3 linked regions of the Drosophila melanogaster genome follow. The protein of the gene in region 2 purifies or fractionates together with the protein of the main gene of each other region. This does not show direct contact. Each region holds a gene or a part of one and is shown on either strand. Other genes may lie near its edges.

Region 1 (8,203 bases), on a different chromosome or scaffold from region 2:
TTCCGTATCCGTTCTCTCATGGGCATTGTGCCATATAAAAAGTACAATAATTAAAAGAAAAATTTAATTAAACACACTTGAAATTTTGGAGTTCTTTGGAAATTGGATAATAATATCGAAGCAGCTGTGATCAAAATTAACAAGATTATTTACTTTTAATTTGTAATATTTTACAGCCTGTATTTAAGCTGCTTAATTAATTACTCAGATTGTTATATTGCCATTATGAAGAACAAAATATATTTGTCATTTGAATAAAGATAAACTTAAAAATAAATTTAGAAATTGAAATCGTTAAGTGATTGGCAGTCATTTTAGCACTGGAGGGCAATTCCCACGCCGAACCGATGGTTTCCGTCCTTAAAGTTGTTGCAATCCAGCACGGCGGATATGGAGGCGGTGATGCCGTCGCGCAGTTTCTGTTCATAGCCCAGGCCCAGCTCCACCAGGTTGTTGACCTTGGCGCGTACGAGGGCATCCTCCTCCAAGTGGTAGATCATGCCCAGATTGACGACCACATCTCCGCCCTGCTGTTCACCCTCGGCAGCTTCGCCGCCGCCGGCTCCCTTGGTTACCTCGATACCGGCATCGATCTTCTCGCTCGCCTTGTAGAACAGCGAGGCCAACCAGGTGTCGCCGTTCTTCCTGCAAATTGATTAAAAGACATAAGATAAAGTCTTCCCACATCTCGTCACACGGGGAACTTACAGCTCGCCATGGAGGGTGGCAGTTTCATTTGTCCAACCAAGGGCCACCTTCCAGCCCTTGAGTTCGGTGTTGCCAACGTCAAATTCGGTGCCCACGCCGCCGAGGAACTCCTTGTGGCCCACAACCAGCGAACAGTTGAGTATCGGCTCCGAGTTCAGTCCAATGTCGGCCAGGAAGTTAAAGTTGTCCTGGGCATAGCCCATCTTGAACTTGCCATCCGCCTCACTGTTGACCCGAGATGTTTATATAATTAAAGGATGCTACCTAAACGATCCCCAAAGGAATACGCACTTTGATCCCGGCTGAAACTTGGCCTCGACGGCCAACATCAGGCCCTGTGCCAACTTATCCCGGTGCATAATCTCACCGAAGAGCCAGTTCTCCGTGTTCCATCGCTCGGTTAGGGTCAGGCCTTGGTCCTCGATCTTGTACTTGCTCTGAAGCGAGCCGGTCACCTTGCTGTTGTCCTGGCTGGCGAAGCCGGTGGTGAAGAACTCAATCCCCGAATTGGTCAGGGTCTTGCAGTCGATCTGCCAGATGCCCGGATGGTAGCCGCGCTTGAAGAGATCGCGGGCCAGCTTGCCCAGATCTGGGTATGTCGGTGTTTTGGCGGCCATTACGGGCTGTATGAATAGGTGGTATGGTATATATGGCCCGACTAATTTCGAAATTTTTTGTCTACTTTTCAACAGCCTCGATTAGCCGAAAATTTATGTCTAACGCTGCCTGATCAGTATCGAGTTTTATACACGCTGGAGACCTGTGAACTAAAACGCACGGAGTCCTGTGCCCAACCGAAAAAGTTAAGTTTTTCAAGCACAAAGAACTTGGGATCAGTATAAGGTACTTATCTTATTATACAGTTTTTTCTTTCAAGCTTAAATCCTTAAATTAAGCTAACCATTCCCAAGCCTTCCACCACCAACGCTGCAATCAAGATAATTTATTTCTTCTCGATTTATTTCTCAGGTAAATGCACAACGAAAAGGTAAAGATTGTTATTAAGGATGTGATTTTGGTGTTATGTGTGTCCTAGTTTCGCCGCAGGATTTTGCAGGCAATCCGTAAAGCCTTGAGAACTGAAAAAAATGCAATGCCTTTTGAGCCATAATATTCCGTCTTTTCCATTTTGTTTTTTTTTTTCGTTTAATAGGTAAATGTATTTTTACTGCACTTTTGTCAACAACAATTTCGCTAATATTCAATGCACTAATCAAAGCTACATCCAACGACGACGGACTGACCTGACCGACCCATCGATTGCACCACCCATCCATCCCCCTGCATCGTTTGTTTGGCAGTGTCTCTCCTGCAGATTCGCGTGGCTGGGGCAGGGAATGGGCGGATGTGGTGATGGCCGGCTGACAACTAATCCAATCCAATCGAATCGCTAAGATGTGCAGATTCTCTTTATATTTGACTGTGTGTTGTTTGTTTTTAAAGAATATCGTATCTTTTATTTTGTTTGATCTTGTTGTTGTTTCTGCACTTGTCTGGCTGCTGTTATTGTTGTTGTTGTTGTTGTTGGGCGTGTGGGGATGTTAGACAACGTTCAAGGATTTCACGACTAGCGGAAAACCACGGACTTAGGCCTCCAGCTCCAGACCCACACCGATCTTGTGGCCGCCGGCATTGAAGTTCTTGCCATCGACCAGCGTGGACAGGGTCAGGGTGACTCCGTCGCGCAACTTCTGCTGGTAGCCCAGACCCACCTGGCTGGCGTTGTTCACCTTAGCGCGCACGCTGGCATCATCATCCAGCTGATACTTGGCGCCGATGGCGAACTTGGTGTTGCTGGTGCCGCTGGCCCACGACAGCTGTACACCCACATCCAGCTTGTCCGAAGTGCGTTGGAAGATCGAGCCGCTGAACTCCTGGCCATCGTTGCTAAACACCGGACAAGGCAATCATTAGTTTGCATTGATTTCATTTGCCATGCGTGGCAATTGCAATACTTACACAGCTGTGTGCAGAACAAAGTCCTTGGTGGTGTAGCCAAGGGCAAAGTTGTTGGTGGTCAGCTTGGACTGTTGTGTGTCAAATGCGGTCTGGTAGCCGGCCAACCATCCCTGGTAGCCAAGCACGGCAGAGGCATTGATCAAGGGGCCCTTCAGATCAATGTTCACATCCGAATCGGCCTTGACGTTCTCATGGCCGTAGGCAACCTTGAACTTGCCGTTCTTGTTTCTGACGATTTTTAATTAAATATGCAATATTAATTATTCTGCAGTGAACATATATGTAATAACATGTGATCCTTACCCAGACTGAGGAGCAAAGTTGCCCTCCAGGGACAGCTTCAGACCCTCGAGGAGCTGATCCTGGACAGCAACCTCGGTGAACAGCGTGTTGTCTGTGTTCCACTTCTCGGTGAGGGTCAGGCCGTAGTCCTTGACCTTGTACTTGGTCTCCAGGGAGCCGAAGACCTTTCCAGACTCCTGGTTGGAGTGTCCGGCTGTGTTGAACTCAATGCCCGACGAGGTCTTAGTCTTCAGATCGAGCTTCCACAGGCCAAAGTTGTAGCCTTTGCTGAAGATGTCGCGAGCCTGTTTGCCCAAATCGCTGTATGATGGAGGAGCCATCTGGAATGGATTGAAATGGAATGCATTAAATCGCACCTTCAATTAGTTGGTGAATAATCGATAATCATGACGATGATACTTATTGCGAAATCATTTCACTCGCCAGGTCATTAATTGCGTTTAGCGAACGATAAGTTTAATCTTATCAGCAACATAATGATTATTACTTTTTGCTCGACTTGATTTCAAAATGTTCTATCGGCCGCAAATGAAAAGTGAAAACTAAAAGACGCCAAAAAACAGCATCAACATGTCCCAAGAATTTCGAGGGCTTTTTCCCCATTTTCACTTTGGCTAAATGTCAATTTTGTGCGGCGAAAATAAAGAAATCAATTTAGATTAGTGTTCAAGGCGGCCACATGCAAAGAATCACCAACTGAAGCAGCGAAAATTCTGAGTGACTGAGGAGGGGGTCAATGCACGTCTGGGCAAAATAAAGTGGCGCAAAAAATAGAAGCGAAGATAGAAAACAAATAGTGACTAAGTCTATTTTACTCCAAGAAATTAAGGGTTTTCTATACCAATGCAAAACCATTTAAATCAAAATTTATTTTTCAAATATTTTTATAGGTTTTTTAAACTAAAATTTTAATAAAAATACTGAGATTTTCCCTATTTATCTGGCCACAGGTTTGCCTCTCTCTATGTTTACGTTCCGTTCTTGCTGGCATTAATTGCTGGTCAGTTCAGTCCCGTTAGGCTAGCGATCATTGACTCAGAAGCTAACTGCACATTTGCAACGTCTGCTGTGGTCACTGCTTCGCTGTTTCTATTTGCGTGACGTCAGGAATGCGACTCACAGTCGCGGTAGGAATATTAGTCGCGGATAAATAAATTTCTATCCGATATTGAGCATAAAAAAAATCAAACAAAAATAACCCAAAACATCTAATTGAAATTATTATATAGATATAACAATATAAATATTTCATGTTGTGTTCGGGGGGATTGGTGGGGGGAAACTCAAGGCAATCAAGGCAGAAAATTATGAAAAGCAGCGGCCAGCAGACAAAAATCTTTATGGCCGGCAGCCAAACGTTAAATGGGATGGGCTCTTATTGTTCCGGAAGTCAGGTGATATAACCTGGTCACTAGATGCTGAAAATAATACTATCAGGTGGATGTCCCGGTGAAAATGAATCAGCATCTCGTTGACGATGACCTTGACAAGCAGATTATAAAGGGGGTGGTTGGGTGGATGTGCAGCTCATTTTTTCGACAGTTGCATAACAGCAGGGAAATCGATGAGGGAAAGTGGAAAGCTAAGTGAATAGCTGCCCGAAAAGGTGGTCTATTGATTTTCCAGGTGACGTCACTGCGAAAATACCACCCACAATCGCGAAGTGCACCCACCTCCTCACATGACCACAAACAAACAAAACGACGATAAAGAACGGTAAAGAGTGAAATCGAAAATGTTTATTGAGCGAGCTGCACGCTGGTGGATGGCAACATGACGATAACGAACGGAATTGATGCGACATGCGTTACGTAACGGAAATTCGCCAGGCACTTTTCCATCGATCTCTCTGCTTCTTTGCCCCCTTTTTTCGCCGGCAGCTGCTGCCAATGAACTGCGAAGGCATTGGTGTGCGTGGACTGTTCATGTGTGGATGTGTGTGTGACAGCTAACCGGCTTAATATCCCCTTTAAATTTCGGATTTATCAATTAATTATTGCGTGATTTGGTGATAAGAAGCTCGCCCATCGTCATCCAACAAAAAAGTGCTCAGCCCTTTTGCTTTTCGTTCATGCGCGTGTCTACTTGCAATTTTTTCATTTCGAGGTTATGAAATCACTGGCACCGAAAATCCTGATTTTCCTTCTACCCATAGGGGTATCCATCACATTTCACTGAATTTTGAGGGGGTTTACTCCTGAGCTACTTACTTTTGATGAGTTTTAGTTTGGTTAGAGTGTAATGCGAAACGCAGAGGAACAGAGACACCACGACAAACGTACACCAAAAAATTTTGTAATTCTGTGCCTTAGTGTTACCAACCCTAAAAATTCGTCCAATAATTATTCCCTAAAACAAGCCGCAGATATACTATCTGGTAACGCTGCGTCACTCTTAATGGCAATGGTCACACTTTTTGTAACGGAAATTTGAAAACTAACGGTTACTTAAAATAATTATTGAAATTAGAATTCAATCATTCTATTAAGAAATTCGTTATCTTAAGAACAATTAACTTACATCAAAGTGTTTTTTTTTTACATAAAAGGGTTTCCTGCAAACGAAAACTTTAAAGTTGTGGACAAGTAAATGGGCTTTAAAAAAGTTATAATCCAAAGCAATCAAAATGCAATAAATATATTACAACTTTATTGATTGACACCAATGAAGTGTGTGCGATGCTCTTTTTATTTTTAGACGAATCTGCGTGCAGGGCCGCCAATCGACCGCATAATCCCATTCGGATGGGCCAAAAGCGAGACCAGTGCATTTGCCGTGCGGCGACAGAATGTTGAAGGCCCGTCTGCAGGAGGACGCCGTGCTGGGACGCTGCTTGGCCACCTCTAGCTCCGTGGAGCGGGGCGAGCTGGTGCTGGAGGAGCTGCCCTTCGCACGCGGACCGAAGCGCGACAGCGGAATCGTGTGCCTGGGCTGCTACCAGTTCCTGCAGTTCGGAGAGGACGGCGATTCGCTGGACCGCTGCGAACTCTGCGATTGGCCGCTGTGCGGATCGTGCGCCGACGACGAAGACGTCACGGAGCACCGCGGAGAGTGCCAGGTCTTCTCCGCCGCACGTGTCACTTTCGCCGGGAATGTGAGCGATGATGGCGTCTGCCCGCAGTTGGATTGCATAACCATATTGAGGTTAGTTCGCGGGCGCTCCAGCGGGGCGGGGGTGATGGTGCTGGGTACATCCGTACAGCAGGGGCTACTGGGTGCTACTAGGGGAACCTGGGCGGTCTGTCCGAATATTAGTTTTGGCAGCAGCGGCCCATTTCTCGCAGTTCGCAGGCTAGCCGGCATATACAGATTCTCATGGCGACTCTACGTCAAAGAAGGCGGACGGATGGATTAACAAGTCTGTGAAAGGGACAGTGGAGCAAATCGCACAGAAAATAAAAAATAAATAGCTAAATTTAAAGTGCATGAAAGTAAGGAGAAAATTATGGCATGAAACAAGCCATATTTGTACATATTATTATGACAGAATAATTGGTATATGATAGTTGCGGCGCGTTATGATCAATGTACCATCATGTTTTTATATATTTCGTAGCAAAACTGAACTGTAAGCACTGTGAATTATTATTTAAATAATGTTAAGCACATGTTTAAATAGATCGGTGCTTAGTACTTAGAAATAGAACTAACAAAGCCAAGCAACTTAAAAGTTACAAGCAACTTAAAAGTTACAAGCAACTTAAAAGTTACAACCAGTAAATTATTTAATTTATGAAAATGTAAGGTATTTTAGTTATTATAGAAATTGAACAATGTTTTCTCAAGACAATTTGTTCAAAACTAAAATTTCTCACCTAGGACCTCGCATGCCCACTGTGCCCAGCAATTTTGATGCTTTATGTCGGAGCAGGCAGAAATGTAGTCATGTAGTGGGGAGGAGGCATCATCTGTGGGGTGTGCCCATGACATGAGATCTGAGATCTGAGTGCGGCCAGCCGGCATCAGTCAGCGAAATGACATCGCCGCCAACGCTGTCGGTGAATAGGACAGCGGTTCAGTGGAGTCCGGTCTGCGGACGCTATCTGGTGGCCAAGGGAGCGATCCGTGGCCACGGTCTGCTGATCGAGGAGCTGCCCTTTGCCGTCGGGCCCAAGTGCAATGGACCGGTGGTGTGCCTGGGTTGCTACGAACCCAACCCAGATCCGGAGGAGGAGCTGTGTAGCGAATGTGGCTGGCCGCTGTGCGTGGAGTGCGCCCAACAAGCGGATAACGCCCATTTCCGCCTGGAGTGCAGCCAGCTGAAGGATGCTCGGGCACGATTCTTCCGCCTGCCCAGCGGCAGCAGGCACTGTCCGCAATTGGACTGTATTATGCCGCTCAGGTGAAGCCCAGCGGGTGGAACAAAAATAGACCACCAGGCACCAGGCAAACTGATAGCGTCACTATTTTATCCGCTCAAGATGAAAGTTATATACAAAAGGATTCATTAACAATTAAAAAAGAGAAAGATTTTTAATTTAATGTAGCTAATTATAATCAATAGGTTACTTGTTGTGCTTCATATGATTGTCATTTGGAATACCCTTTTAAACTTTCTACTTTCAGAGTTCTGTTGGCCAAGGAGGCGAATCCGGAGCGATGGGACAACGAGGTGGCACCCATGGAGCACCACAAGGAGGAGCGCCAAAGGGACGCGGATGTCTGGCATGCGGATCGCGTTAATATCGCTCAGTATTTGCGCGGTCCCTGCCAACTGGCCAACCGATTCAGCGAGGAGCTGATCATGCAGGTGGTGGGTGTGCTGGAGGTGAACGCCTTCGAGGCGCGCAGCCCGAAGGGCTATCCACTGAGGTGCCTCTTTCCCTATACCGGCATTCTGGCCCACAACTGCGTGCCCAACACATCCAGGAGCATCTATCCCAGCGAGGGATACAAGTGAGTTGTAAATAGATTTGTAAATTCAGTTCTCTAGTTCAAGATGTCTAGAATTACATTTCCGCTGTTGCACATCTAAAATAAGTCCTCCTATATTTGTTTCTCTTCCAAAGAATCCGACTGCGCGCCATGGTGGACTTGGAGGAGGGTCAGCCCCTGCACCACAGCTACACCTACACATTGGATGGCACTGCCCAGAGACAGAAGCACCTGAAGCAGGGCAAGTTCTTCACCTGCCAATGCGAACGCTGTCTGGATCCCACCGAATTGGGAACGCACTTCTCCAGCCTGAAGTGTGGTCAGTGCGCCGAGGGATTCCAAGTGCCCAGGCAGCCAA
Region 2 (7,363 bases):
CCGTTCACCCGCTCGCTCATGATCACTGCTCGCTGTTGGATCGCTAGAGCATCTTGGGCATCGCCCAAGAGGTAGCTGAGCCTGGCCAGCATGCGCAGGCAGGATCCGTTTTCCTGATGCAATGCGCCAAATACGTTGTTCAGCAGGTTGAGTGCTCCGCTGATTAGCTCATAGCCCTCCTTAAACAAGCCCTGTTGGATCTTGGCCTGGCCCGTGGTGTAGAAGTTATAGGCGTCGGTTGCCCGGGGACTAATGTGCTTCACAATTGGGAACACATTGACGATGTCGTCGTCGCCAAAGGTTGGCTTGTGCTTGGACTCGAAGTTGTACTCTCGCAGCAGCACCTGAATACCAACCTTCAAGCAGAAGGCGCGCATCAGACTGATACGCAGGATGCCGTATTTGGAGACCGCAGTCTCAATCGAGTCACAATCCAATTCCCAGTCCCAGTAGACCTTGGCCTCCTTACGAATTTGCTGCCACAGGGATCGGGGCGTCATCAGAGTCCAATCGGATGCGGATGAACTATTGGAGGAGCCAGACGAGCTGCCATTCTGATTGCCTGTCGTCTGCTGTTGCTGCTGACCCTTTCCGCCCTTGGAGGACTTGTGCTTGTTGTGCTTACCGCCGTTGCCGCGTTTCTTGTGCGCCTCCTCGCTGCTCACGGCCGGGTTGACGGGTCCGTTGGTCAGCAGACAGTTGAGGAAGTGGCTGATGGCAGCAGAGAGGTGCAGCGGCTCTGTATTCTGCATGTACGTATAGTAGATGTGCTTGGTGGCCCGTACGATCAGCTCGAGGACAGCGATCCTATGCAGGTAATCCATGCGAGGCATTTGGCTTAAAATTTTGATAACCTTGCCCAAATAACGCACGTTGATGCCGTGACTGTGCAAAGATTCTGTTAGACTCTGGCCATCGATTGGTGACGATGAATGGGACATATGTTCCTTGATAAAGGCGGGTATCTGCTTAAGGACGAGAAACTCGGCTGCTTCCTGCACGAGCACCTTCTGTTTGGCCAGCGAGGTGCCCTCCTCGCCATCCGCGTGACGAATGCCAGGCGAGAATACGTCGGGGTTGAAGCGGAAGTCAAACTCTTTCTCCTTCAGCGATCCAACGGCGGCGCAAGCCCGCTTTACTACCTCGGCAGCTTGCACCTCATTCGAAGTAGCTACATTGGACTGTGCTTCCCGGATGGCATTAACAATGGCGGCGGCCCTTGCCTCGCCAGAAGTGGACCTCTCCTTCTTCTCCTCCTCTTCGTTTTTCTTCTCCTTGTCATCGGGTTTTTCAGCTCCGTTCACTTTACTTGCCGCTTCTGCTCCTTCTAAGGCTGGAACAGGATTCGCCTCCGATTTTTCAGACTGCTTTATGGTAGTAAGCTGCTGAAGGCGCGCAGCAGCAATTCGGATAAAGTTAACATGTCGATCCTCTATAAAAGCTTCCAGCAGCTCTTGACGCAGGCAGCACAACTTGTGCCTGTGCTCGATAGGGAAGCCCATATCAACTAATTCCTTGCTCAGCTGCACGTCCTGAAGCTTCAGGAAGTTCACGTCTGGCGGGAACGTGCGCAATAAGTCGAGGATGTAGTGTCGGCCATCGTTTCCAATAATGCCCTTGCACTCCACCGAGGAGCACAGCTCCACGGGTTCATCCCGCTCGTTAAGCACTACGTGTGGCAAAATCTTCAGATGCTTACCGGCTTGTCTAAGAAGCTCCAAGTATTTGGGATGGCTGAGCACCGTCTTTCCAAAGTCAATGGAGCCATAGACGACGCTTTGCTCCTGCTCCCGCTCCAGAATTCCGGGAATAATAGATTGGGCAGTAACACGGTAGCCGCGATAATCAACGACGACGGTTCCCAGTGTGTATAATCCTTCAATATCAACGGCATTATAGACACGCACGCCGTGCAGATCGTATCGTGGGGCAACAAAGGCGGCTGCATCGCCGCCCAGTTCCTTGTAATGGTCTCTTACGTCGAAGCCCATCGAGAAGAAGATATTGTTCCAAATGAACATCTGCATCTTGGTGTCCTCGCCGGGATTAATGGCCAGCACATTGCCGTCGATAACGGCCATGGCGCCCCTCGTGGCGGCAGTCACGAAATCCCCGTGCACCTTGAAGATGGCGCGCTCGCGCAGCAAGCGCTCCGGCAGTGTCTTACGTGGCAGTTCCCGTGTCGTCTGTAGCTCTTCGTTCCAGTCGCGCGTCTGTCCGGGGATGTGCTCTTCGTAGCTGCGGGATGGAAGGATTTAGGGTATTTAATTAATAATTATTATTACTTTGTTAACATTTATGTAGTAATACTATTAAAATCTTTTTGCTCAACCTACCCCAATTTTGAGCTGAATGCATCCTCGGCACGAATAGCGTCCACTGTGTGCTCCAGGATGGGAGCTGCCCACTGGTACACCTGATAGGGCGTGGCTACACGCTCGAAGGCATGACGCATGGTGCGTCGCTTCTGGATGGTCTGGAAGGCACGTCGGAACGATGGTGATATGTGGGAAAGCAGATCGATCAGCGAGTGGCTGAGGTGGCTTGGATTGTCGGGCTTGGGATTAAAGGTGTCGTCTGTCGACTGGTTGATGAAGAAGCCCTTGGAACAGGCTGAGATGTGGAATCGTTTATCCTCCATGGTGACAACGTACAGATACATGAGGTCACCATGCAGCTTGCGAGGACCGGGTGGCGGGTTCCAGGCGGATGTAGTCAGTACCTTGAGAGCCTGCGGTCCCTTGGCGTTCTTCACATTTGGATGCAATGGCAGAATTGGCGGATCACTTACACCCGGAGTCACATACTCCGGCGGAGTGCAATCCACGGAGTCCGGTCGCGTCCTCTTCTTGTCCAGCAAATCACCCTGAGTGATCGTGTTTAAGTAGGTCAGCGAAGTACAGTCAATGCCATTGTACGCGTCGGCCGGGTCAAGGTTTTTGAGAAGATCACGGACATGGCGCACATGAATACGGGCCTCCCGCATGGTGTACGGCTCCTCTACCACTTTGATCGTCGAGCCCTGCTCAAGGTTATTGATTGACTTGAGTTCGGCGAAATTGTCGAGCGTCACGTTGTCCAGCTGCAGCGAGAAGCATGTACGATGGCACGTCTCTTCGCGGTCCATCAGCAGCTGGTGGATTTCCTGCACCAGCTCCATGCTGGACAGCTGCACGCAGAGCAGATCGGCGCCGGGACTGCTGATGTTCACCGTGATGCCAATGTCCTGCAGAGCGTCCAGATCAATGTCATCACCATCAGCCTCAGCATCCGGTGCTCCTCCTTCCTGCGGTTTCTCCACATTGGCATTGGTATCGGCATTGTCCTCAACTGCATCCACCACTGTGGGCTTCTCGGCGTGTCCGTTGCTCAGAACGGCTTCGGTTGTGGGTTCAGTTGGGCTTTTGTTGCGGTTCTTCTTGCCTACATGGGGCGATGAAGAAGTAATTTGTTGTTAGTCAATATTGGGAAAGGCATATGGAGCATTGTGTAACCTATTCGATGTATAGGGAGAAACGTGAACTTTGGACCGACTTTTGTTTCCATGTCTCTCAGAAGAATCTTGTATAAATCCGTTATTTATTTATTATGGTTCATTAGTATGTTTTTAAAAACAAAAGATTATTCTTAGGAATTTAAATTTCCAAGCAATGCTGCCAAGTTTATGTTAGAATTTAATGTTTACCATTCTTAATTTATAAATAGTGGTTTATATCTAGTTTAATAATTAAACCTTGATATTATTTGAAAAATGGTGACAGAATTAAAGGTAATGCAAATACGTTACACGTTTCTTTTCTAAAATTGTCTGGCAATATATAATAATTTAAAAAGAGGTGTCTCTACCTCCAGGCTCCGATTTTTACATAACAATACTGTCCGCACACTTTTGTCGCTCAGTTTGTCTGTGTTCGCCGGCAAGCTGTGTGCTTGCATATACATATAAAGGCATATGTACATACATTTACAACAAAACAGTAGAAAAACAAACAGAAAGAGAAAAGCGAGCTGATAAGGCCAAAGGGGCCGGGTTCGTTCGGAGTCCGTACGAACGAACAGTCCACCGAATAATCCAATCTCCTTTCGATCTCTCAGGAAAACGGAATGGGTTTAACACGACCATGCTAATTTCAACAGCCGTATACTAAATTACAGCACTGTGAGATACATAGAGATAGAGCTAGGGAGAGAGAATGAGAGAGGCAAAGAGAGTGGGGAGAGGAGAAAGCAAAAGTGATAAGTACAATGTTCATTAACCGCAAGGAATTCGGAGAGAAGGAGACAAAGTGTAGAGCGATGCGTCTACGGATAGAAAACATGATTTACATAATTGTCGAACAATTTGCGTGTGTTAAGTGCATGCATTTCGGGCCGCGCACGTGTTAATTGTAGGTTAAACGCAACAAGAAATCCGCCCGGGGGGTTAATGAACATTTCGTCGCCGTTGCCGGGTTAATAACATGTGCGTTGCCATGCCAAGAGGAAGAGAAAGAGCGAGAGAGATAGGGAGCCTCACACTTGCAGTTCTCACACACGCACTTAACTCCAATAATACACACACACACATTTACGATTGCAATTGTAACCCACGCGGTTTATGGAGAGAGGGGGAGAGGGAAGGCTCGTAAAAGGGGGTGGAGGGGCAGCCATAGACAACGGGCGCCGCTTTTAAGGCATTATAGGGAAGAAAAAGCCCATTACGTAATGTTAAAAATGTTATGTGATTGGCTTTTGTGGCAAATAATATATTGAGGCAGTTTCCAAGGCAGCAAAGCTAAGAGGAGGTGGTGATGGGTTGGTGTGTGGGTGGGTGGGTGGTTGATTGGTTGGTTGAACATGGGCGTAGGCGGAAAGTTAAACGCACCTTTCTTCTTCGCAGCCGGCCCGTCGGCAGCCGTGCCATTGCCATTGACCAAGTTCTGATTCGAATTCTGCTGATTCGAATTCGGATTCAGGTTCTTTTTGCCGCCGGCCGTGTTGTTGTTCTCCTTGGCCTTGCCGCTGGCCTTTGTTGCTGTTGCTGTTGCATCGCCCGTGGCCGTTGCATTTGAATTCTTCGCCTCCGTTTCAAGCGCCATGCTTTTGTTTCACCTGCTCGCCAAAAACTCAACAAAACCAGCGGAGGAGACACAGAGTTCTAGTTCACGTTTCTTTTTTTTTTGGGCCCGTCCGTCCGTGTTACACAACTCTAACCGCTCGCCGAGCTCGGGGTGATTTCGGTTCGATTTTCAGTGTCTTTCTGGTCGATTGCGAACGTGATTGTTGTTTGGTTAACGATCTCGTACGCATCTATGACAAGTGGGTCTTTGCTAGTTCTGTTCTTTTCAGCACATTACTTATCGAGGATATAAATCGGCCGATTCGCTAGAAAATAACGCGTTATGTTGTTAACGGCTGAGAGTGTGACCACCGGGTGAACATTTAAATATACCGCTGGCATTGGCTTGGTTGCAGTATTTTAATTAGTATTTAGTTATTTGCTGTGTATAATTGCAGATGGACAACAACTAGTGATAGGGATGCACACGCAAAAACGATACCAATATATATGATTGCATTTATTTTAACAACAATTGTGTTCTGTTTAATAAAAGGTAATTTATGCACAATACAAACTTATTTTTATTTAAAACAAATTTTTAAGCCTTTTTATAAAGTGCGTCATATTAGCGTCGTTGAGGAACAGTGAAATTTGTAACATGGGTAGGTTTTTTTTATTTTATTTGAAGGTGAATTTCTATTCAACAATTTTTAAAAATTAATTAATGTAAAGGGCCTGTTTTAAGGATGGGTTGGTTCATAGCTGGACCTACTGTTATGAAATTATCTCAAAAATTGAAATTTTCCTGAAATTCCACCGTTCCGCCATCGCCGCTAACTTATCGACTCTAATTTGACGCATACAATTTTACAGATCAAGCATAGTCCCCGTTAAGTTTTTTTTTTAATTCGGTGTGTATTTTTTACGACTTGTAATACAGCCACACATAAAATACTGTTTTTAACCAAACAAACATGTCGCTTATAAAGAATTTGGTAAAAGAGCCCGAACAGAAGGCAAAGAAAAAGAAAAAGAATGCGGGATCTGGAGAAAGCGATTCCGATGAGAAGGACAAGCCTCTGCGGCCGTTCATCAAAACCGCGACAGATCTACAGAGGCTGAAGCTGGAGAAGCTCATGAAGAATCCGGTATGTGTTTGCATTGGAAAGCTGGGTGGACATTCATATTAATAAACCTTTTATTGCCAGGATAAGCCCGTGGTCATACCGGAGCAGCGTCGCGAACGGGACTTCATGTCCTCGGTGCCCACGTTCGTGCGGAATGTGATGGGAAGCAGTGCTGGAGCGGGTTCCGGCGAGTTCCATGTGTACCGCCACTTGCGACGCAAGGAGTACGCCCGCCAGAAGAACATCCAGAACCAGAGTGCCCGCGAAGCAGCAGATGAAGCTTACCAGCAGAAGTTGGACGACAACAGACGCGCGGCCGAAGAAAAGACTGCTAAGAAACGAGCCAAACGGTTGAAGAGAAAACAGAGGGCGAAAAAGCCGAGAGAGGACAAGAAGCCACTGGCTAAGGAAGCCTCAGAGGATAGTAACACAGATTCCGAGGAAGAGCCCACAGAAGAAAAGGCAGAAAGTAGCCCTGAGGAAGGACAACAGGTGGCATCCAAGGAATCCGACGACAATAACACCCAAGAAACTTCGAATGAAGAGGCAGTGAATTCAAATACAGAAGCGAAAAGCGCAGAGGACACAAATGCAGTGGAATTAGATAGCACCGAAGCTACAAAGGAATCCCAAAATGTGGATCAAGAACAAGACAAGCCTGTGCCTTAGTACCTCCTGTTCTATTCCTATCAATAAACCGTTTAGAGTAATAAAACACAGTGCGGTTTTATTTATAGTACTTTTGTAATATATATATATTAAGCGATTTCTATACATCGCCAGTATCTAGGGGTTTTCATCTGAGGCCATCTTTCTAAAGCAGCTTGGTTGAGAAGAAAGCGTTTTGCGAATTATGCATTGAGTTGTCGTGGCTTTAGTGCGCATTTTGTTTTTTGTTGTCTTACATTTATAAGGTGCATCAAATGTTGCATTTTTGAGTATAATAAATGCTTTCAAAATTTGACATCGCAGGCAATACATTAATTATACCCTTGACAGAAATCCACCATTTTTAGTTCTGGGTATAAACATATTTTTTTCTGGTTTCTTGAAGAAGCAAGTTTTTATTGTTTTCAATAATTAGATTTCTTTGAATCCGAAAAATCGTTTCTTCTAATTGTTGGATTTTTCTGCGTTTTGTTTTTGTTTTCTCAGATACATCTATATGATTTCTCGGTTTTGCACAAATAATTAT
Region 3 (7,082 bases), on a different chromosome or scaffold from region 2:
GCCGATTGGACACCCGCTGATTATATTACTTCTATATATAAAAGCCGTTCAGTGCAGATTGTGATTTTCGCTTATTTGCAGACGAAACTCGTGAACTTGGCACTGCGGCGTGACTCAGAAATCCGTCGCCATCGGAGATGAAGATGACATAATAATTTGAAATAGTTTGTAATATAGGACAGCCGCCGGGTCCTGCAGGGGCTGGGAATTTCCCAATTCCGGCGACAGGATGTGGTGGGAACCGAACTGCGATTGCCAAGCACATGTCACATAAAATCTACATACAAAGTGCCCCCAGTCCATTTGCAAGTGTGTGGGCAGCGTTTTAATTAGGGCGTGGAGTGGAGTTGCCCAAGGCGAAATGGCGCGTTATCGCTTCAAGGACGAGCACACCACCCATCCCATCTGAAAAACAACACCCCTAATGATAACTGTTCGTCTAGAACGGCGCACAATTAGGCACCATCAATAATAGACGATTCGGCGGGGTCATTTAGATAGAATCGCCGATAGCCGGCGAGCCACCTCCCCCAGAGATCCCACCAACTTGTCATCGCACCTTCCGTCTCGCCCGAGGTTTATGCCCCCTGGTGGTAGCACCACAACTCACCGGGAATTCCCACCTGACACCATCAACAAATTGTCGAAAATCGAAGGTTCAACTCAACTAGTCTTGTCTTTCTACTCCCGAACTTAAAGCCATTCGTGTTCACTTTCATGTGAATGTCCTGCCAGTCCTTTGGCTTTAACCCACCAATATACACAAGCAATTTGTGGTTCCCATTGTTTGCCCTTAGCTCGTGTAACATTTCGGAATTGTTGAATTGCGTGATTTCGCGGTGGCTTCTAATTGAATTTCAAAACTGCAATCAATCGACTTGGACAGCTTAAACGGAGCAGGAATGCACTAATGCCCTAATGAAACCTATTGTGGTTTTCTTGCAGAAGGATCGATTAATTGGTTGATAAAATCAGGGGGATGGCAGAATGCCATAGCTATATTACGGTTACTAAATCGTAATAAAATAGAATTAGAATATAATGATTAATTTAAACATATAATATACAACTAAGTATAATCAAGGGGTTTCTTTAGAAGATTGATTTCGTTCAGCAGCCTTTGCCAAATGAACGAACATGCAGTACATTCAAATATGGCGGTTAATAAGCTTTTAATGGGGTGTTCCATGTCGAAAAGCTTTCTCTTTCCAAAAATGAATCAATCCAAGAAACCCACACCCTTTCATGTTGCTACCACCAACAATCACACGTGATTGTTCAAAAGGCATAATTACATGGTATGCAAATGGGAGGCGCCAAGTGGAAAATGTAGCCACAAGATTAACCCCTTTCGCCACACGTGCGAGTCTTGGAAGAACATACGTCAACTTTTTAATTAAGCAGTTGAGCAGGCATCAAATGAATGGCGCTTTCCGCCATGTAATAACCCCTTTTATGGCTGCCCTTAATCACAACATGTGACATCCCTTCCCAGCAGGATACTGCTCCTTCAAAGGATTAAAGTTCGAACGAATGTAGCGAGACTCAGGAAACTTTGCGCTTAACGCTGATTAATTACAGGACAACGGAGAGCGAGTTGGCTTAATTGGAAGTTTGCTTAGTTTTAGATTGTTTAATGTTTATTCACGTTCTCTAGCTCATGTAAAAAACTCATATTCCCAGATGAACCGGCGAACCAGTGCTACTCTCGAACGAGAACCCGCCGCTCTAGACATTCAGGTAGTTGTCGGGGAATTCGAAGGTAACATCGCGACCAGTCAGCTTCTTGTAGACCGAGGTGAAGGTGTCGACCTGGAGAGATAAATAGAGAACGTATTAGTTTACACGATCAGAGGAATTAACTTATTTATTGCAGTGTACAGCACCGCAACCTCCGCTGCGGCAGAAAATACCGCAGCGAAGATATCGTACGGTAGGCTGGATTAATCTTCCGCTTATATAGGAAGTCCCGAGGCCCCAGGAAACTAAACGGCGCTCGAGAGGCAAATAGGCGGCACTCAAAGTGCATCGTGTGTGTTTTCAGATGAGTAACTCTAAATGTAAGGTGCTGTTGCAATCCTTAAGTAATGATGCTGTCCTGGCAAAGTAGACCCAACATTGTGGAGTGATTCGTTGCATTACTTTGCGTTCTGTTTGACGATCGCTGGACTTGAACAACGTCCAGAAAATAACACAAGAACGGTGATGGAAACCAAAGTATTCAAGGGCTAAGTGTTGATTGACATGAATGTGGCGCATATAGTAATGCAGTAGCCGTTGAGAGTCGGCTCAACATTGTGGAGTGATTAGCGGCAGTTAATCTACGTTCTGTTTGACAATCGCTGAGCTTAGGTAATCGCTTAGCGAATAACACAAGAACGGAGTTCACAATTAGCATTCTCGTGGATATTCAACTGTAGCAATCCTTTAGTAATGATGCAGTCCTGGTAAAGTAGACCCACCATTGTGGAGTGATTCGTTGCTTCAGTTTGCGTTCTGTTTGACGCTCGCTAGGCCATGAAAAGATCTAGCGAATAACACAAGAACGGTGGTAGAAACCAAGGTATTTAAAAGATTCTACGAGAGTGTGGCGAGCCGAAAAGTAATGCAGTAGCCCTGGAAAGCCGGCTCAACATTGTGGAGTGATAGCCGCATTAATTTACGTTCTGTTTGACAATCACTGGCTTTGGATGTAACTTCCAGCAAATAACACAAAAACGATAGAAAGTTCTATGTACATTTAAACATATAATCTTTCTATCCATCTGTTATCCCCCTTATTTGACTTTTCATTCTACTGTTTAAATGGTTTCAAGTATCGATTTGAGTGTGTAATGATGTGGCGAGCCGGAAAGTAATGCAGTAACCGTGAAAACTCGGCTCAACATTGTGGAGTGATAAGCTGCCATTAATGTACGTTCTGTTTGACAATCACTGGCTTTGGAAGGACAGCCAGCGAAAAACACAAGAACGATGTATCAAAAGACCAACTGTGGCCAATATTTGGAGATGCAGGACCGCAATGGCTTCTAATGCCTGCAATAACGAGTAATTGGCCCTGACTGTTCTGCGTCCCCTGGCGAAGATTGAGCTCCATGGCACGGAAGGCCCAAATATCGAGGGTACGCGCCTGCTAACACACACGATGCACTCTTCTTTGAGGTGGAGGATGCTTATGCTTACTTTGTGTTCAATGGTGGTCTGCTGGTTCTTGTCCAGGTGCACCTTGACCAGCTGGGAGCCGTCCAGCTTGACGCGGATGCGCTTGCCCACAATCTCGGCGGGGAAGACCAGATCCTCAAGGATGGCGTCGTACACAGCGGTCAGAGTCCTGGAGCGTGGACGCTTCTGCTTGAGGGGGTTGCGGGCCTTGCGCGTGGGCTTGGGCAGGATCTTGCGCTCCGCAATCACGACGACGTGCTTGCCCGAGAACTTCTTCTCCAGCTCGCGGACCAGGATGATCTGGATCTTCTGGAACACCTTCTGCTGTGGAATGGGCACGTAGATGATGACGGCCTGCGTGCAGAGTGGGTTACGGATTACTATTGAAGGCTCCACATGTACGCCATATACTGTTTACCTTCTTGCTGCCGAACTCGATCTCGCGGGCACGGGTGATGTGCAGATCGCGCAGGTAGGGCTTCAGGTCGCTGTTGGCCTCGAGTTCCACCAACGCCTGGGCAATGGACTTCTCGAAGTCATCGGGATCCGAGCCGCCGGGCTTGATAATCTTGGAGCCGATAGCCATCTGCAATGTTCATCACCGGTATTTTAGCTTTCGGTTCAATTACAAACACAAAATTCGCTGCGGCAGACGCTTCCCCACAACGCAGTACAATCACAAATCGCCGGCAATCGGCGTTATTTCGCCAGCATTTCTCTGGATTCACAAGAAAATCGTAATTTGCCATTATCATTGCGGCCTTTTCTCTTATTATTTCGCTGCACTGCGTTGTGGCGACCGCGTATTTTGGCCATTTTCGGCGACGGAAGAAAAAAAGTACCACCTTTGTCGACTATTTTGACAGGAAAGGAAGTCGAGCCACGACGTAGAGGTGGAAAACAGAGCGAGTTGTTATCGATGAGACACGCGCGAACGTTGTGCGATACTATCGATACAGTTGCAGGAGCAATTACTCGTCGAAAATACGAGGGATGGCTAAATATATAAAATTTAACATTATAACATAACATCCATTCAAGAAAATTTGATTATATTTCTTTGAAGTGTTTCAGCGTTTTAATGTTTTGCGTGTAAAAATCGATAGTTCTCAGCAAAGATTGTGTATAACGAATTTATGAGTTAGCATCGATAAGTTTGTATGCCACTATGGGTTTATGTTTGGAAAAACTTTATTATAAAATTTTTTTTTAATAAGTTAAGTTGTTAGCCTATAAAATTAAAAAAATTGTTGTATGAACAATATAAAATGTTTCTTTGAAAATATATATCGATAGGTTCGTTTAGGGTTATCTACCATGCTTCAGCGGCGAGTATCACCACTTATGTTGCGATTAAAGCCCCACAGGGGGCGCAATTGTTACCACATGTAACGTTTTTTAAAAAAAAGTAATTACACAGATTTTGGATTTTGGAATGGATTTCCATAAATTAGGAATTTAATGAGATTATTAACAACATAATAAAAAATATTAGTTATTGCCTTAAATATATGTGTAGATAATATTTACGCAGACATATTTAATCTTTTCAACGGACATTTTTAAGTTGATAATATTGATAATATAATATATGTAAATTCCAGTGCCATTTGCCGTATGAGTTTTAACCTACAGAATTGTAGAACTTAATTACTATAGAACACTATTGAATGAAAACTTAGTAACTTGTTGAGGTTTTTAGTAATTCCAAGAAATATGCTCTTGAATAAAAAACCTTTTTAAGTCTCTTTCAATGCAAAAACACGAGTTCTTTTTTTTTACATATTGTAATTAATATGTTTAAGGTCTAATTATTATTGTAAACGTTTTTCGGTGGGTTGATTGCCTATAAAGCCACTTGTTTTTCAGTCTAAATCATCAGTGTAAAATTCGGAAAACCCAGCGATCTAGTTATGAAATACTTTGTGGTCCTTGTCGTCCTGGCCCTCATTTTGGCCATCAGCGTGGGTCCTTCGGATGCAGTATTTATTGATATTCTTGACAAAGTGGTTTGTTTCTTCTTTAAACAATTGTAGTTTACAATGAAGCTTAAACATTTGTATTTCTACAGGAAAACGCAATACACAATGCTGCTCAAGTGGGAATTGGCTTTGCTAAGCCCTTTGAAAAATTGATCAATCCGAAGTAATTCTGCACTGCAATTTAATTAATGTATCGTTTAACGAAAATAAACACAAATTTTAAAATCTGAAAAACAACTAAGTTACTAACGCAAGACTTTTAGTTAAGTTAGTTAATATAGACCGAGATGTATGTACATACATACCGCTTTCGCTTACAATAAAATGTTAAATAAGTTTTCAGATTCGTACGTGCTCAGTAAACAATTATTTTTTATTGTCATTTAATGCCTATTGAATTTTTCAAACTTAATTTAGTGCCTTTAGTAAAATATTGTAGTGATTCCCCTCGAAAAATACCACAAATTGGATGCGTTTATGTAAATAAATTGCCCTTGAGTGATAGAGTAAATTTGAATTTGACTGTCTTAGAAAGATAGAAAGAGATCAATTCAAAATGCCAAAAGGATAGAGTTATTAAAGCTCTAATTCAAATTGGCCCAGAACCGTTTAAAGGATATTACAATTTGTAATTTACATATTTGGATTATAGCATTGAAATCCCCGATTGTTCCCTAGATGTGCAGATGTGTGCTTGGAATCAGATCGGTTACCTTCAGTGTACTTTTCTCTGCAAAAATCCCCGTGCATGCCTTATCTGTCATTTTGTTTTTCAAGCTGGCTGTTCGCCTATAAAAGCTCTCGCCTTTTGTATCGCAGTCATCAGTCGCTCAGACCTCACTGCAATATCAATATCTTTAGCTTCTCCTAAGAAAAAATCAAGAAAATATCACCATGAACTTCTACAACATCTTCGTTTTCGTCGCTCTCATTCTGGCCATCACCATTGGACAATCGGAAGCTGGGTGGCTGAAGAAAATTGGCAAGAAAATCGTAAGTTCTTCCATTTGAAATCTGTTAAGACGGAAACTAACTGACTAACTTCTTTTCGAAGGAACGCGTTGGTCAGCACACTCGGGATGCCACAATCCAGGGACTGGGAATCGCTCAACAAGCCGCCAATGTCGCCGCAACTGCCCGAGGTTGACCACGATGATTATTTATAATTATTTATTTAAAGATCTATTTATTCTGTTGCTCCCTGTAAATAAAACAATTTTAAAAATTTAAAGAATTCTATTCAAACTTTGTTTTTTAAAGAGTTGGAGAAAAGCGAACTCTTGAATTTATACACACATTTTAAATACACTTAAGAGGCATTATTTATACAGGATATTACAAATCGCTTCTTTTCCGATTTGGAAAGGCCGAGATTATGTCTTATCTGTTGAAATATAATTCGTTTCACCTATAAAAGGACCAGTCTTTTAGTTTAAATTATCAGTCGCTTGTCAAATACTGAAACAATTAGATTAATTTGTGGATTTTATTTGTCCTCATCCTGACCACTTATTGGCCACAATTGGAAGCTGGCTTCGACGGGACATTAGTAAGCTTAGTCATTTTAAAAGATTTCTTTGCATCTAACTATGATTCTAAATCCTCAGAAGGACGTTGGTCTATACACCCTAAATGCTACCCTGCAAGTTGCTGAAGTCGCTTCGAAAGCAGCCAATGTGGCAATCACTGCCAGGGGATAAACTTAAGTTAGGGTATTATTTATAAGAAATTAAATTAATAGATTTTATTTTATATATTTTTTGTATATTGTTATTCAAACTGATAATGTAATATACGCTTTTCAAACGATCATTCCAAATCAGTTGTGGGCTTATCGCAAATGATTTCGTAGTGTTTTTATTTTGATTGATTCAAAGAAGGGGTTTCCTCTCTGATTCTTAGTCTCCCGCATTGACGAGGTAAAAAATCCCTATGCAT

The links.
Region 1: the proteins of clu (region 2) and porin purify together in Drosophila melanogaster (affinity purification with western blotting; one study listed by BioGRID). This does not show direct contact.
Region 3: the proteins of clu (region 2) and RpS7 purify together in Drosophila melanogaster (affinity purification with western blotting; one study listed by BioGRID). This does not show direct contact.

The regions. Positions count from the first base shown.
Region 1 is NT_033779.5:10,845,574-10,853,776, forward strand, and holds porin (porin), read right to left. Parts: upstream 5,276-8,203; 5' UTR 5,181-5,275; exon of another isoform or gene 3,943-5,180; intron 3,493-3,942; exon of another isoform or gene 3,458-3,492; intron 3,291-3,457; coding exon 2,971-3,290; intron 2,896-2,970; coding exon 2,668-2,895; intron 2,596-2,667; coding exon 2,295-2,595; 3' UTR 1,852-2,294; downstream 1-1,851. Other genes in the region: CG17139 (uncharacterized protein), read right to left, coding at 1-26; Porin2, read right to left, coding at 315-645, 709-933, 1,000-1,325; SmydA-3 (SET and MYND domain containing, arthropod-specific, member 3), read left to right, coding at 6,945-7,312, 7,537-7,866, 7,980-8,203. UniProt on the Drosophila melanogaster protein: Forms a channel through the mitochondrial outer membrane and also the plasma membrane.
Region 2 is NT_033778.4:16,184,638-16,192,000, reverse strand, and holds the start of clu (clueless), read right to left. Parts: upstream 5,418-7,363; 5' UTR 5,079-5,417; coding exon 4,865-5,078; intron 4,113-4,864; exon of another isoform or gene 3,847-4,112; intron 3,424-3,846; coding exon 2,337-3,423; intron 2,239-2,336; coding exon 1-2,238. Other genes in the region: CG8441 (uncharacterized protein), read left to right, coding at 6,016-6,189, 6,250-6,837. UniProt on the Drosophila melanogaster protein: mRNA-binding protein involved in proper cytoplasmic distribution of mitochondria.
Region 3 is NT_033777.3:30,204,910-30,211,991, forward strand, and holds RpS7 (ribosomal protein S7), read right to left. Parts: upstream 4,112-7,082; 5' UTR 4,008-4,111; exon of another isoform or gene 3,749-4,007; coding exon 3,581-3,748; intron 3,517-3,580; coding exon 3,184-3,516; intron 3,131-3,183; exon of another isoform or gene 2,989-3,130; intron 2,975-2,988; exon of another isoform or gene 2,836-2,974; intron 2,722-2,835; exon of another isoform or gene 2,584-2,721; intron 2,550-2,583; exon of another isoform or gene 2,413-2,549; intron 2,383-2,412; exon of another isoform or gene 2,247-2,382; intron 2,204-2,246; exon of another isoform or gene 2,067-2,203; intron 2,018-2,066; exon of another isoform or gene 1,874-2,017; intron 1,813-1,873; coding exon 1,729-1,812; 3' UTR 1,621-1,728; downstream 1-1,620. Other genes in the region: Anp (andropin), read left to right, coding at 5,076-5,171, 5,234-5,311; CecA1 (cecropin A1), read left to right, coding at 6,039-6,137, 6,199-6,291.